Canis lupus familiaris: one gene and its partner. The protein of the gene in region 2 purifies or fractionates together with the protein of the main gene of each other region. This does not show direct contact. Links are inferred from orthologs where the notes say so. Each region holds a gene or a part of one and is shown on either strand. Other genes may lie near its edges.

Evidence for each region.
Region 1: the proteins of SLC31A1 (region 2) and B3GAT3 purify together in Homo sapiens (co-immunoprecipitation; 3 studies listed by BioGRID and IntAct, with this or other methods). This does not show direct contact. The link is inferred for Canis lupus familiaris from reciprocal best matches to the Homo sapiens genes SLC31A1 and B3GAT3.

Annotation. Positions count from the first base shown.
Region 1 is NC_049239.1:54,537,370-54,544,277, forward strand, and holds the start of B3GAT3 (galactosylgalactosylxylosylprotein 3-beta-glucuronosyltransferase 3), read left to right. Parts: upstream 1-2,334; 5' UTR 2,335-2,483; coding exon 2,484-2,565; intron 2,566-3,690; coding exon 3,691-3,865; intron 3,866-5,261; coding exon 5,262-5,622; intron 5,623-5,817; coding exon 5,818-6,108; coding exon of another isoform or gene 6,109-6,120; exon of another isoform or gene 6,121-6,122; intron 6,123-6,478; coding exon 6,479-6,577; 3' UTR 6,578-6,908. UniProt on the Homo sapiens protein: Glycosaminoglycans biosynthesis. Involved in forming the linkage tetrasaccharide present in heparan sulfate and chondroitin sulfate.
Region 2 is NC_049232.1:67,997,589-68,005,469, forward strand, and holds the start of SLC31A1 (high affinity copper uptake protein 1), read left to right. Parts: upstream 1-2,850; coding exon 2,851-2,932; intron 2,933-3,183; coding exon 3,184-3,236; intron 3,237-7,881. Other genes in the region: FKBP15 (FK506-binding protein 15), read right to left, coding at 2,697-2,749.

The DNA of each region.
Region 1 (6,908 bases), on a different chromosome or scaffold from region 2:
CTTTCTTATCTGAAGACTCAGATTCTTCCAACATCTGGCAGGATGAGAAGCTGTCCCTGGGCTCTGAATTGCTTCCTGTGACTTCCTGACCTTGGCCACCCCGCTGACACCAAGTCTCCTTTCACCCCCCAACACTCTGTTGCTCTAACTGGAGCACAGTCACCTGTGAAGACCAGGGACCATGAGGCCCTTGCTTTCCCTTCTCTTTCTTTTGGGGGCCCTGAATCTCCTCTAAACGCTCTTCATTCATACCTCTTGTGTGTTGATGCCGTTTCTTGGAAGATGAGGGCAGTGAGCTTTAGGGCTCCTTTTCTCCTTCCCCTTCCCCGCCAAACTGCTCTCTCTCCTTTTATTTCTTTCACCTAATTCTTCTCTGTCAGCCCTCCCCTTTATATGCCCCACTGATAACACTGGGACCACCCCTTACCTGATAAGGGATGAATGGATCAAAGGAGTGAGGTTGCTGAAGAACATCCTTTTCCCTGCCATCCCAACCTTTTCTCTTCCTGATTGCTTCTAGAGTTGCTGCAGTTCTGACAGGGGCAGTTCTATCTCCCCTGTCCCTTGGGGGAAAGAAGTTTTCCACTCTTCCTGAAGAGGGTATCAGCATTAAACTTCTTTTGCCCCCTTTTTGTCCCTTTTGGGGGCATTTAAGATGGAGAAATCTGTTTTGGTTTCATCGAATCACGATCACCTGTATTTATTGCTGGGAGAAGGCTGAGGGTGGGGGGAGATGATCATGTGTGCCCAGGGTTGGTGGGAAGCTCTGGGTGAGGGGTGGGGGAAGACTGACTGGGGACAAGGGGGAATATTTGTGGCAATTTTTTTTACTTCCTCTTGGCCCCCAGCTGTGACAGGTTTTGATAAAAGGAGAAACAATAAAGAGATAAACCATAAATAACTGTTGGTGTCCGGATTCTAGTTCTGACCTGAACCACAGACCCTTAGAAGCCTGAGGGCCTGACATTTTCATCTAGCTTCAGCATAAACCTCATTAGATCAGCAAAATGAGTGAGTACGTCTTCCTCAACTTGCTAGATGCCAATATTTTCATAGAGGAGTCCAGCAAGGTCATCAGATTTTAGGAGGCTTAAACAGTGGTGACCAGAGCTGATGGGGTCCGTCTTGAATAGAAACAGCTTTATAGTCAGATGTTCTCATGAAAAAGGCTGCTTCTCTTTGGCATCACTTTTTTAAATTCCCCATTGTTTCAGTGACAGGAAGTAGATCACTCCATTTTGTAAAGTGACTTATCAGTCTTGAGAGATTATAAGAAACGATTTTTTTTTTTTTTTTTTTTTTAGGGAAAATGCTCAGGAAGGCTTGTACCTGAGTAGTTAGGGAATGTGCTCATGGAATTCTTAGCTCAAGAAATATTTCCAGTTAGTTTGCTGGGACGTAGTGCACTCCCTTGGCACCCCACTCCCTGCCTCCTATTGTCATCCGTTTAAGAAACGGGGGGGGGGGGGGGGGGGGGGGGGGGCAGGGGCAGCCCGGGTGGCTCAGCGGTTTAGCGCCGCTTTCAGCCCAGGGCCGGATCCTGGAGATCCGGGATCGAGTCCCACGTCGGGCTTCCTGCATGGAGCCTGCTTCTCCCTCTGCCTGTGTCTCTGCCTCTCTCTTTCCCTCTGTGTCTGTCATGAGTAAATAAAATCTTAAAAAAAAGGGGGGGGGGGCAGGAGGCGTACTGGTTTTGGAGACAGGTACCTCGAAGGCACACAGAAAACTCCATAGTGGCGGTTTCATGTTTTTGTGGACCTTGGTTACTTGTCCGTAAAATGGGGACAATACCACCTGTCTCAGGACTAGAGTGAGGAATGAGTGAGGGACGCCCAGAGCACAGGCCGGGCACAGAGAAGTCCCAGATTTCATTCATTCATGAAACAAGCATTTGTAGCCATGGCGTCCCGTGGCTGAGGGATGAATGAATGAGAATGAGGAAATGGGGATCCCCGGGGGGCTCAGCGGTTTAGCACCTGCCGTGATCCTGGAGTTCCGGGATCGAGTTCCGCGTCAGGCTCCCCGCATGAAGCCTGCTTCCCCCTCTGCCTGTCTCTGTCCCTCTCTCTGTGTGTGTCTATGATGAATAAATAAATACTTTTTTTTTTTTGTTTTTTTTTAAATGAAATCTGGGTCTGGAGACCAAGGGAAACGTCTCAAAGTCACTCCCGCCAGGCGACTGACCGCCCGCCACGCGAGCACGCCACGCCGGATGTGACGTCACCGACTCCCGTGGTTCCCAGAACTAGGCGGTGGGACCGGAAATTAGCCCGGGGGGCGGGGTGCAGAGTGACCGGAAGTGGGCGCGGGCGGGCGCCGGCGGCCCCGGCTCCCGGGAGCTGGTGAAGAGGAGCGTGAGGAAGGCGGGCCGCGGGGCGGGGCCGCTGCAGGGGCGGGGTCTGCAGGCTGGCGGATGGGGGGCGGGGACCCCCCGTCGGTTCCCCCCGGACCCCGCCTGCTCCGGCGCCGGCGGCCGCACGGCCATGAAGCTGAAGCTGAAGAACGTGTTTCTCGCCTACTTCCTGGTGTCGATCGCAGGCCTCCTCTACGCGCTGGTGCAGCTCGGTGAGCGGGGCGGGGCGGGGGTGCGGCGGACCCGCCTGAGGGCGCCCGCCGCCTGCAGCCCGCCCTGGGGGTGAAGCCCCGCGCAGGCACCGTGCAGCCCGCTCGGCCCCCGACAGCCCGTGCCGCAGCCGGGCTCTCCTCTCTGGGACGCGCCGCGGCCCCCGCCGCACCTCGGAGGAATTGCGGGCCCCTTTCCAGAGTCCGCGCGGCCCCGCGTGGCCTGTGGCCCTCCGCCCTGGCAACCCCCTTACCTCCCCCACTCGCTCGCTCCGCTCCGGCCGCACGGGCTGTGTGACAGTTTCTCGAAAAGCCCAGGCGCGTTGCTCTCTCAAGCGCTTACCCTGTCCCTTCTGGCTGCAGCGCTTTTCCCCCATTTCTTTCCCGGTCGCCTCTTTCTCACCCTTGAGGTCTCAGCCCAAATGTCACCGCCTCAGAGAGTCCTTCCCCGGCCACTTTAGCTAGAGTCACTGCCTTTTCTGGACTCTCTTTTATACTCTATCCTATACGTCTCCTTCGTGGCCCTTATCACAGCTCGTGACAATTTTACTAATTCGTTTCTTTGCTCAGTGCCTGCCTCCTCCACTAAACCGAAAGCTCCATGAAGGCAGGGACCATGTCTGCTTTCCTCCCTGCTGTATCCGCAGCACCTGAGGCTGTGCCTCCCACGAGGAGCCTCCAATAAATATTTATCCAATAATGGAATCAATGAATTTTATGAGTCTTTGGTCACACAGCCACGGGAACAGATTGAACTCTGCCGCTTACGCAGACGGCTCAGGGCTTGATCTTCAGGTATTTAAAAGACTGCCCTGTTTCAGGAGATTTAGTTGTTCTTTACATCTCTAGAAGGCAGCAACGTGAGCATCAGCAAGTAGAAGGGTTGGAGGCGGATGAGCAGCTCAATATCCAAATGAAAGCTGTAACAGATGGACTTGACTGTGGTTGGAGAGGGCTGCTGATTGAGACCGTGAGCCCCCCCACCCCCGAGGTGTGGAAGAGGCTGTTGGGGAAGCTGTCAGGAGATTTCCCCCTACACTGGCTAGGAGTTGAATGAGAACGTTCTGCCCCTTTGGGATGCTCAACATGCTGTGGTTCTCTGCCCCCATCCCTGCTTCCTGGGACCAGGTCAGCCATGTGACTGCCTCCCTCCCCTGCGCGCAGCAGCAGAGCAGCTTCGGCAGAAGGATCTGAGGATTTCCCAGCTGCAAGCTGATCTCCGGCGCCCACCCCCTGCCCCTGCCCAGCCCCCTGAACCTGAGGCCCTGCCTACTATCTATGTTGTTACCCCCACCTATGCCAGGTATGGGGTCTGGTGTACCCAAGAGGCCTGCCAGGGCCAGGATGTTGGTGTTGATGGAGTTTGGGGAGGCACTGGGCTAGAGGGTGTTCTGTAGGTGAGGGCATGCCAAATGACAGGATAAAGGAACCACATCAGTCCTCAAAGATTTGTGGGGAAATGACTGTTTCTCTAGTAAAACAGGGGTATGCTATGAAATAGAATACACAGTTCCTAACAAATTTTAAGATAGAATAACAAAGTTTCAAAGAAGTGCTGAGCTTGCCCATGAATTCACTCTCTCAGGGATCCTTTGGTGAGAAAGTCTGGGGACCGCAGGCTAATTGAAGTAGAAAAGGGCCTGGCCTTACCGTCATACTAGGGTCTAGAAACAGTTACCCCAGCTATGATTTGTGGTATGTTCACTCTCTACCAGCCACTGTGCTAAGTAAGGGCTTTTTTTGTTTTGTTTTGTTTTTTAATTAAAATGTAACTTTATTTTCGTACAAACCCCTGGGGAACCTGGTTTTAGGTTTATAGCTAAAGAGCCTGCCAACACCTCAGGGGAATCAAATGGCTGACCCATGGAAGCACAGGCAGCTCTAGACCCTGTCCCCTTCCACACACGCAGCCCCAACCCCACGGCAGGCAGAGCAATTGAGGGATAAATCTAGAAAAGACTGGGCCACACCTTCCCAGTTTCCTGTCTAACCTTAGATAAATCCTCTCCTGGAGAGGAATGAGGCAAAGGGCTCATCTAAATTTCTCATCCTGGAAACCCAGGAAGAGCACCTGGTATTTTAGAAAGTCGTTAAAATTTGCTCTTTAAGGGGAAGCCTGGGTGGCTCAGCAGTTGGGCGTGTCTGCCTTTGGCTCAGGGCGTGATCCTGGAGTGCTGGGATCGAGTCCCACATTGGGCTCCCTGCATGGAACCTGCTTCTCCCTCTGCCTGTGTTTCTGCCTCTCTCTTTCTATGTCTCTTATGAATGAATAAATAAAATCTTAAAAAAAAATTTTTTTTTGACCTTTAAGACAAAATCGTTGTAAAGTGCTGTTATTCCCATTTTCACAGCCAAGGAAACAGGCTTGGGGAGATCTGACCCATTTCCCCCAGTGTCTCACCTACTAAGTTACAGAGCTGGCATTCAAACCTAGATCTGTCTGATTCCAAAGCCTGTGCCCTTAACTTGTAGTCTCCCACAGCCAGAGCCCTGGGGTTGAGGCGGGTGCCAGACATGGGCTGCAGGAGCAGGGCAGGAGAGTGCGGTGTGAAGTTGACAGGCAAGAAGAGGAATTTGGGTATTGGTTGGGCAAACGCTGTGGGGGATACTAGAAGGGGCCCGGGAGAAGCTATGTATACTGGCGGGAGTGAGCAAATGGTCCCGACCCCTTGCCCTCCTCCGTGTCTTTTCCCCTGCAGGCTGGTGCAGAAAGCGGAGCTGGTGCGGCTGTCCCAGACACTGAGCCTGGTGCCCCGGCTGCATTGGCTGCTGGTGGAGGATGCTGAGGGCCCCACCCCATTGGTCTCAGGGCTGCTGGCTGCCTCGGGCCTCCTCTTCACACACCTGGCGGTCCTCACCCCCAAGGCCCAGCGGCTCAGAGAGGGTGAGCCAGGCTGGGTTCGGCCCCGTGGTGTAGAACAACGCAACAGGGCCCTCGACTGGCTCCGGAGTGGAGGGGGTGCTGTCGGGGGAGAGAAGGACCCCCCCCCAGCCGGCACCCGGGGAGTCGTGTACTTTGCTGATGATGACAACACCTACAGCCGGGAACTCTTTGAGGAGGTGAGCCCTGGGGTGGGGATGGAGAAGGAGGCAGGTGGAGCCAGCTTCACCTGTTCCCTTGGTTACTGGTGTTTCTCTGGAAAGATGTTGTGGGAGGATGGGGAGCAGTGGGGCAGAATGAGCCCATTGGCCCTTCCTGCTGCTCCCTTGCCCCTGGGCCACCCTGTCTGTTTCTTTTCTCCTGACCTCTCTTAGATGCGCTGGACCCGTGGTGTCTCAGTGTGGCCCGTGGGGCTGGTGGGCGGCCTGCGATTTGAGGGCCCTCAGGTACAGGATGGCCGGGTTGTGGGCTTCCACACGGCATGGGAGCCCAACAGGCCCTTCCCAGTGGATATGGCAGGATTTGCTGTTGCCCTGTCCTTGCTGTTGGCTAAGCCCAATGCCCAATTTGATGCTACTGCTCCCCGGGGCCACCTGGAGAGCAGTCTCCTGAGTCACCTTGTGGATCCCAAGGACCTGGAGCCCCGGGCAGCTAACTGCACTCGGGTAAGGGGCTAGAGGTGGGTAGAAACCTGGCTCTGGGATATGGAAGGGTGATGGGGAATGTGGAGGAAGGTTTTGGGGAGGAGGGGAAGGACAGTTGTTTGAACAAGGAAGGACCCTGCAGAGCTCAGACTCAACCTTGCTTACTCTCCTGGAGGGGGAGCTGGGAGCCAGGGAAAGAAATGGTCTCCTGCACTCTATCACCTGGGCACCCATGTAGCCCAGAGGGGGTAAGGGGAGAAAGCCCTATTTTAGAGGCACTACAGCCCCTGCCCTGCACACTTGAATCTAATGCTATGTCTGTAGAGGCAGCGGTAAGAGAATTCGGGCTATGCTGTGGGCCCCAGTTCTAACTGAAATGCTCCCGCAACAGGTCCTGGTGTGGCATACACGGACAGAGAAGCCCAAGATGAAGCAGGAGGAACAGCTACAGCGGCAGGGCCGAGGCTCAGACCCAGCTGTTGAGGTGTGATGGCGGCCCCCCCACCCCCGCCCCTGACTACCACCTCGTCAGGCACGAAGCTGGGGGACTGGGCCCCTGGCCAGCCTGGGCGGCAGATTTCCAAATCCTGACCCCTCAGAGCCAGGGGGTGGCTCCTCTGCCCCCTCAGCCCCAGAGCGTGGCCCAGCTGCTTCTCCTCTCCCCCAGCCTGCCATGTGGCACTGCCCACAGGCTGGGGACAAGCGGCCCTTGTGTTGAGCCAGGTCAGCTCGGTCTGGGGTGGGGCAGAAGGACAGACACTCAGGAGGGCTGCTAAGCAACTGGGTAACTTATTGGGGCTAGGCATGGGCTGGGGGGCTGG
Region 2 (7,881 bases):
GAACTGTTAACGTCACTGCTGTTTGAGAGGCTAAATGTGCAGTTAGAAGAACCTAATGAGGGAAAACATCAATATATATATAAGTGGTTATGATGAATGTCCCAGAAGAAATGACATACCAAAAAACTTCACATTAAAGGAACTCTTGGAAGTATTTTACAACATTGAAAACACAAAGGATAAAATGTCAGAAGCTGATCCAAACTTAGAAATATGACAATTTCCCAAGGCATAGAAGAAATCCCCACTCCTTATCATAAGTTGTACACACACACACACACACACACAAAATAAGCTGTACACACAGAGGTAAGCACTCTTGATTTTTTCCTTGATAAGTTTTTTTTTTTAAGATTTTATTTTTATTCATTTGAGAGAGAGACTGTTCGCACATGAAGTGGGTGGGGGGCGGCAGAGGTAGACAGAGAAGCAGACTCCCCACTGAGCAGTAAGCCTGATGCAGGACTCAATCCCAGGACCCAGAAAAAATGACCTGAGTGGAAGGCAGGTACTTAACTGACTGAGCCACCCAGGCGCCCCTCTTTATAAATTTTTGAAAACAGAAAACACTAAATCTTAAGGAATCAACAGTTTGTCTCAACCAAAATTTTTAAAAGACCATGAAACAACTGTAATCTTTCCCACTGATTATCAAGCTTACTTTGTAGTTTCAGCTTGCATGGCCATATTTGCAGTAACTCACTACCTTACAAAGCAAATTTGTATTTGGTTCCAATTTCTCTACATCCTTACCACCACACTGTCTTTTTGATAAACAGCCATTCTAGTGGGTGTGAAGTGGTATCTTTTTGCGGACTTGATTTGCCTTTCTGTAATAACCAATGATGTTGAACATCTTCTTATGTACTTACTGGCAATTTGTACATCATCTTCTTTGGAGAAATAGCTCTTTTGCTTATTTTATTTACTTTTTTTTAGATTTTATTTATTTATTCATGAGAGACCGAGAGAGAGGCAGAGACAGAGGCAGAGGGAGAAGCAGGCTCCCTGCGGGGAATCCCACGCGGGACTCGATCCCAGAACCCTGGGATTCCGCCCTGGGCAGAAGGCAGGCACTCAACCGCTGAGCCACCCAGGTGTCCTTCTTTTGCTTATTTTAAATTCGGTTCATCTCTTTATTTTTCACCTGAATCTATTTGCTAGCTCATCAGATTTAAAAAAAAAAAAAATAGGTGAGTTAAGCCTCAATCAAAAAGGTGACTACACAGACAACAGCAGCAGGCTGGACTATGTGGAAATTTTAGTGACTGTTTCGGGTGGAAATAGGGAAAAAGGAACCAAAGCAGAGTCTAAAAATAACTGAGCAACTGAAAGAACTCAAAGTGGAACTCAGTCGGTGTGGACCACCTAAAGTGAAAGCGGGGTGGCACAACGTGGTGAGGGTGAAAAAAGGACGTAAGGGTGGGTAATATACCGCCAGTCACAGTTTAAGTCAAAAGATCGTATTCAAGACCAAAAGAGGGCCGTGTCATTACGGCCACTATTGTATCAACTCTTCAACAGGACTAGAAGCAACTTGAGAGGAGAGTAGGCACAGCAGCTTAACCATTTTTGTGACCTCTCAGCGGTAAGATGAGGAGTGTATGTTGGGGTTTCGGTCATCCTTCTGTACATTCTTAAATGTGTTAAAAAAAAAAAAATGTCCGGGGATCCCTGGGTGGCGCAGCGGTTTGGCGCCTGCCTTTGGCTCAGGGCGCGATCCTGGAGACCCGGGATCGAGTCCCACGTCGGGCTCCCGGTGCATGGAGCCTGCTTCTTCCTCTGCCTGTGCCTGTGTCTCTGCCTCTCTCTCTCTGTGACTATCATAAATAAATTAATTTTAAAAAAAAACAAAAAAACATGTCCAAAGAAAAGGCTCTGAAATATCAGGATTGGCAGCTCACTTTCAAAGGGATCAAGCTGCCTTAGTAACGCAACGCGAGGGAAAAGGCTAACCTGATTATGGGAAGAGACAAACCCCTGTGGGTTGGAGAGCTGTGCCCCAGGCTGGTTTGTGTTAGGGCGGGGAGGGGGGGGGGGGGGGCAGCGGTCTCTTGCAGGGCTTCTAAGCTTTGGAGGACAACTTCACAGCTGTCACTCACTCAACAGGCACTTCCGGAGCACACACGATGCGCTGTGCTGAGCGCCAGGCAGAGATGAGCAGCAGCAGGAGTCCCTGTTCTGCCAGGGTTCATAACCTAGTAAGGACAGGGGGGTTATTCACTAGCCTAGCTGTAGGAATAAGGAGGAAAAGAAGCGAGGCATCGTGCCTGGGTCTGTGGGAGAAGGGAAAGCGCCCAAAGGGGACATCCGGGCTGGGCCCTCAAGGATGCTGGAGCTGACCCACAAGGGCCAGGGAACTCTCAGGTGTCACTGCCTTGTCCACGGGGAAGAGAAAGTCTCCTACGAGCCCCCAGCTGACTCCTATAAGCCCTGAGCCAGATGCTCTCACAGGACAAACTCAACCACAAAGCAAAAGGCGAACCTCAGGGCCCTCCTGAGGGACGAGGGACATGCCAGGTCCAGCACCGAGGGGCCCCGACACAGCACAGTTTGGAGACCTGCGGGGCTCCGGAACGTGGCGGGGGGCCCGGACCCGGAAGTCGGGGAGAAGTCTGACACCAGAGCGACCCCTCCAGCCACCTGCCCAGTTCCCTTAAGCTACGCCCCCTGTCCCAAGCTTCTCGGTCACTCACCCGCCGCTCGGCGACAGGAAGTCGGTGTCGTCCTCGTCTCCCCCACCGAACATCGCGGTGCCTTTCTCCCAGCCGCAGGGCGCGAGGGGCGGGGGACGGAGGTGGGAGGTGGAGGGGGAAGTAAGAGTGTTTTCGGGGCTTGTGCTGTCGTGAAATGCCGCGGCGGCGTGCTGCTTTCCGGCAGGACGAACTCTCGCACGGTTGTTCCGCGGGGAGGGGTCTAGGCGCGGGAGAAGGTGGGGAGGGGGGGTGCGGAAGGCAAATGGGAGGGCCTCGCGAGCACGCGCGCCCGTGACGTCAGGCTCCTGCAGCCTGCGGAGGCGGTGAAACCCGCGGGATCTCCGAAATCCCGCGCAGGGATTGGCCGACGCGGCAGGGGGCGGGGCAGGGGCGGGGCGGGGGCGGGAATCCGCGGCCTCGGTGGCGGTCGTGGACACGTAGAGCCCGGCAGAGGTGGAGGGGGCTTCCGAAGAGTCGTGGAGGTGGTGACGGGTTGAGGTTCTAAGAGGGCGGCGCCGGCGGCGGGAGTCGATCTGGAAGGTAAGCACCCCCAGCCCGCTCCCGCCTCCGGCTGGGGCACGGTCCTCTCCCCGCCGGACCAGGACCCTCCATGCGGCTCCGCTCTGCTTTGCGAAAGGAGACAGGGCCTGGGGCTGGCGGTCCGGAGAACTGATCTTTTCGGCTGGCCCCCTGCAGTGACAGAGCTAGGGGTGACCTTGGGGTTGGGTGTCCGGTGCCTCACTTTCCCCGTCTATGAAACGGGCCTGTCGTCCCTTCCGCTTGTCCCCCGTGGCCGACCTCGCTGTTTATTCAGCGGGCTCTTTGTCCAGGGCTCCTATGTGCCGGCTGGCCAAGAAGCTTTTAGACCTCAGAGGTCATCGGACTGAAATCCCAGCCTCCTCCTCATAGCCCCAGAACTTGCAATAGGGGACACGAAGTAATAAGCACTTGGATGACTAGTCCGAGGTCGCACGGAGTAAAGGACAGACTGGCGCTGGATCCCTGGTCTCTTGAATCGGGACCGACTGGGGGAATGAGAACCTCATCGACCCTTAAGCACAGTTCGCCCTTACAGAGTGGTTACCGCTCGACTGTGGCATGGGTCTGGAGAGAATTCCCCTCCTTGTGCAGGTGGGGTACCGAAGAGCTGGGATGTTCCGGGAGTGAGTGATGGAAAGGACGAGACTTCAGCAGTGGAAATCCCCAGTCCCAATCTTGGTCTGGATTTTGCTGTCTTCTTGCCACACACCTAAGTCAACATCAGTTGTTGGGGACTTCTCCGTCTCCACTTTCCACCCTCTCTGTATCCTATAGAAAGTGTTTCTTTGGTAAGCTGATAGGATTCTGGAAACAATCTCAGGGTAAGCCTGGTTTAGCCAAGGTTTACCCTCTATCTGGATGAGCAGGTACTGTATCACTGTCGCATCCGTTTCCGTAGATCTCAACGGGGTTCTTTCACCCAAGGCTTCTCCAGATCAGATTAGTACAACAGGTGGCCCTTACCGGGATGTTTTACTCTGTTCACTTGAAATTAAAGTGAGATGATTGGTAGTGATTCACTTCCTAGAGAACTTCACACCTCTCGGCACTTCCCTTGTCCTGCTTTCCAGTATAGTTTACTTCTTTCTGTGTGCTCCTACTAAACTGTAAGCTCCTCAAGGACGGAGACTGTTTTATTCCTTGATGTCACCTGTGTCACAGAGCGCTGTGCCTTGGTAATAGTGGGTTCTTACCCTTTGTTAGACTGCGTAATGGAATTCATCCTTATGCCCATTCCTTAATTCATGCTCTTAGGAATTTTTTCAAGTGTGATCCCCAGAGCCCAGCAGTGGCTCTTGCCTTCCAGAAAGATAAAAATGCTGTGCTAGCTGGGAACTCTCAGGGTTGCTTCATCTCTTTTGTTAGCTGAAGATTGTTTTACTATCGTTTAAAGCTCTAGGGGACGGGAAAGGAGGATAGAATAGTTAGAATGTGTAACTCCGATTTTTATTGGTAGAGTATTCCTCCATTAAACTGAGGGACAGGGCTGTTATCTGCTTCCTGTGTCCATTTTACAGATTACGATGGTTAAAGCAATGAAGGCTGACAGTGAAAACAGTGATGCAACTGGAGGCTAAGCAATAGAACTGAAACTCTTTGCAGCACCTCTGTTTACGATATGAACTTGGCTACCTCTCAAGAAAGGAAAATAAACTGCCTAAGTGACATCACTCTTTCTAACCCTTTCCCCAGTACTGGTCTTCGTTACTCCAGCACTGAAACATCTGAATAGTGCTTTTAAACACATGCTAAAAGATCACTTGAGTACTTATCTTGAATTCTTGAGTTCGGGATATTTTCATTCAGGGTATTTAAGTAGCCTTTTTAGATAGGTAGGCATGTAAAATCTGGATCAGCGTTTTGGCAATCGAGATACCAGAGATCTGCATGCCCAGGTCACCATTGTGGGAACACAGCCCTTAGTTCCGAGAAAGGGGAAGATGGTGGTGAGGTTTCCTCAGTCTTTCAGGATTTGAATTGCAGGATTACATTGCAATTCAATGTAATCAAGGTACATTGAAGAGCCACTGTTGGGGCCCATGGCTGGCTCAGTTGCTTAAATGTCTGACTCTTGATTTCAGCTCAGGTCATGAGATCGACCCCACATTAGGCTCCATGCTCAGTGGAGGAGATTCTGCTTGAGATTCCCTCTCTCACTCTGCCCCTCCCTCCACCTGTGCTTTCTCTCTAATAAGTAAAGAAATAAGATCTTTTTTAAAAATTGAGGGGAAAATTAAATAAAAAGCCACTGTCATCCTGAATTAGAATATTGGACCAGGAATCGGGAAACCTGAATTCCCATCCCAGTCCTTCTAACTCACCTTGAGCTTGGACCAGTCTCCCTAAACACTTTGTAAAAGGAGTGGAATAGACCCACATATCTATTAAGTACTGCTGGGGATACAGAGGTAAGGAAGGCACAACCCTGATCTCAGGTTGGAATTAAGCATTTTTGTTTGTTTGTTTGTTTGTTTTGCCTAAATACACAGTTTTTAGATGTATTTATAAAATATATGGACTCCCTCCACAGATTAACCAGGAAGTGGCAATTTTAACAGTTCCTTTCAAATTACCAACAAACTTGCTATAGAGATGATAATTTTTATATATAGGTGCACTCATACTAATCTGTACTAGTGAATGCATTGTAAATATTAAAGATTAGGGTACCTTGGTGGCTCAGACATGGAGCATTGGCCTTCGGCTCAGGTCATGATCCTGAGGTCCTGGGATCGAGTTCCGCGTTGGGCTCCCCACAAGGAGCCTGCTTCTCCCTCTGCCTATGTCTCTGCCTCTCTCTTTCTGTCTCTCATGAATAAATACCTTAAAAAAAAAAAACAACTATTAAAGTTTAAAGTTATGGCCAGGTTAGATGATAGGTGTGGTGATAGCAATATGAATTGAATATAGGTTTAGGGGAGTTAGTATTGTGTTCTTTCTGTTCAGTTACTGAAAACAGAAAAATGTTAGAAGACAGTTCAAGAAATGTCTGAAAACCTTCTCTGTGTAAGGCACTGTGCTGGGTGTTGCCTGGAATAGGAAAATGAATAAGTCATTGTTCTTGTCCTCAAAGTGCTTATAGTTGAACAGTGGAGATAATTGAAGTATACAAATAATTATAGAGAGGAACATAGCGAAGTAAATTCCCATAAGTAGAAATTAATTATTGTAGGATTTCAAAGGAAGAAGAGATCATATCTAGTTTGGAGGAGTATGTGGGATTAGATAATGGGCTTTGAAGATGAGTGGGATTCCAAGTGGAAATGAGGAAATAAGGTTCTCCAGATTGAGAGAGTGGCTTTGGCAAAAGTACAAAGGCAGGAGAGAAGGCACAAATTTCTTACAAGACCAGAGTTGCCCTCTTATTTGATGCAATTAGGGCCAACAGTTGGCTAATTAAAAAAAATAAGACCGGAATCACACAGGTATTAGTTACACATAGACCTTTAACATTTGATTTTAACTTAAAGCATAAGCATCCTTTTGCCATTCTTTAAAATAAGCCTTTTATTGGGGTGTGGGCCCCAGGGAGGGGGCCAGACCTTGTCCTTGCCTTCTGCTTGTTTCTGTAAATAGTTTTATTGGAACACAGCCATGCTCATCTGTTGACATATCTATGGCTACTTTGACGTACAAAGTAAAGTAGTTGTATGTGTCTGTGTGATTCATCTTTATCTAGTCTTTCTAAAGCTTTCAACTTGGTTTTCATAGAAACAACTACCAGAGTCCACACAGTATAGTACAGTAAATTCTTAAGCTCTGGAGCCAAGTTGTTTTGCCGTTTATTAGTTATACAGGTCTTGGGCAAGTTGCTCAGTTTTCTCCTTTAGAAAATAAGGACAACGATAGTATCTAGCTTCTAAGGGTTCTTGTGAAGATTATAGGAGTCAATTCATGTAAAGCACTTAGAACAGCGTCTGGCAGGTAGCAAGTACTCAATATTAGCGCTGCTGTTATTTTCCTCTTGTCACTTCCCTTAATTGCTTTTCATAATACTTTATTAAATTATATTCTTACATTAATAAACACAACTGGCATAAATTGATTTATGAACAAACCTACCTGATACTTGATAAGCACCCAGCTTCACTGAGGGAAAGAAAAAAGTGTTGATCCCATGATATTAGAGACTAGCCTAGGTGGTGTGTTATCATTTAAATCAGTTAAGAGAATCCTGTGGGATTGTTTGCTAAGAGTATAAGACAGTAGAACACATAGGGAAGTAGTGGATTAAAATTGAAAGGGAGACTAGGGCCATATTTGTCTAATACTTTGAAGGCCAAGGAGATAAGTTTCTACTTAGCCATGTAGGAAATGGGATTATTTATCCTAAATGACTTTTTTTTTTTTTTTTTTTAAGATTTTGTTTACTGATTTGAGATAGAGAGTGAGCAAGAGAGAGAGAGCACAAGCAGGGGGAAAGGGCAGAGGGAGAGAGAGAAGCAGGCTCTTCACCGAGCAGGGTGCCAGACACAGGACACAGGGCTCGATCCCAGGACTCTGGGATCATGACGAGCTGAAGGCAGATGCTTAACCAACTGAGCCACCCAGCCACCCCTAAATGACATGACTGAAATTTAAAAATTCAAGTGGTTTAGGAATTTATGACATAAAAAGTGAAAATTTCCTGTGTAAGGATACGCTT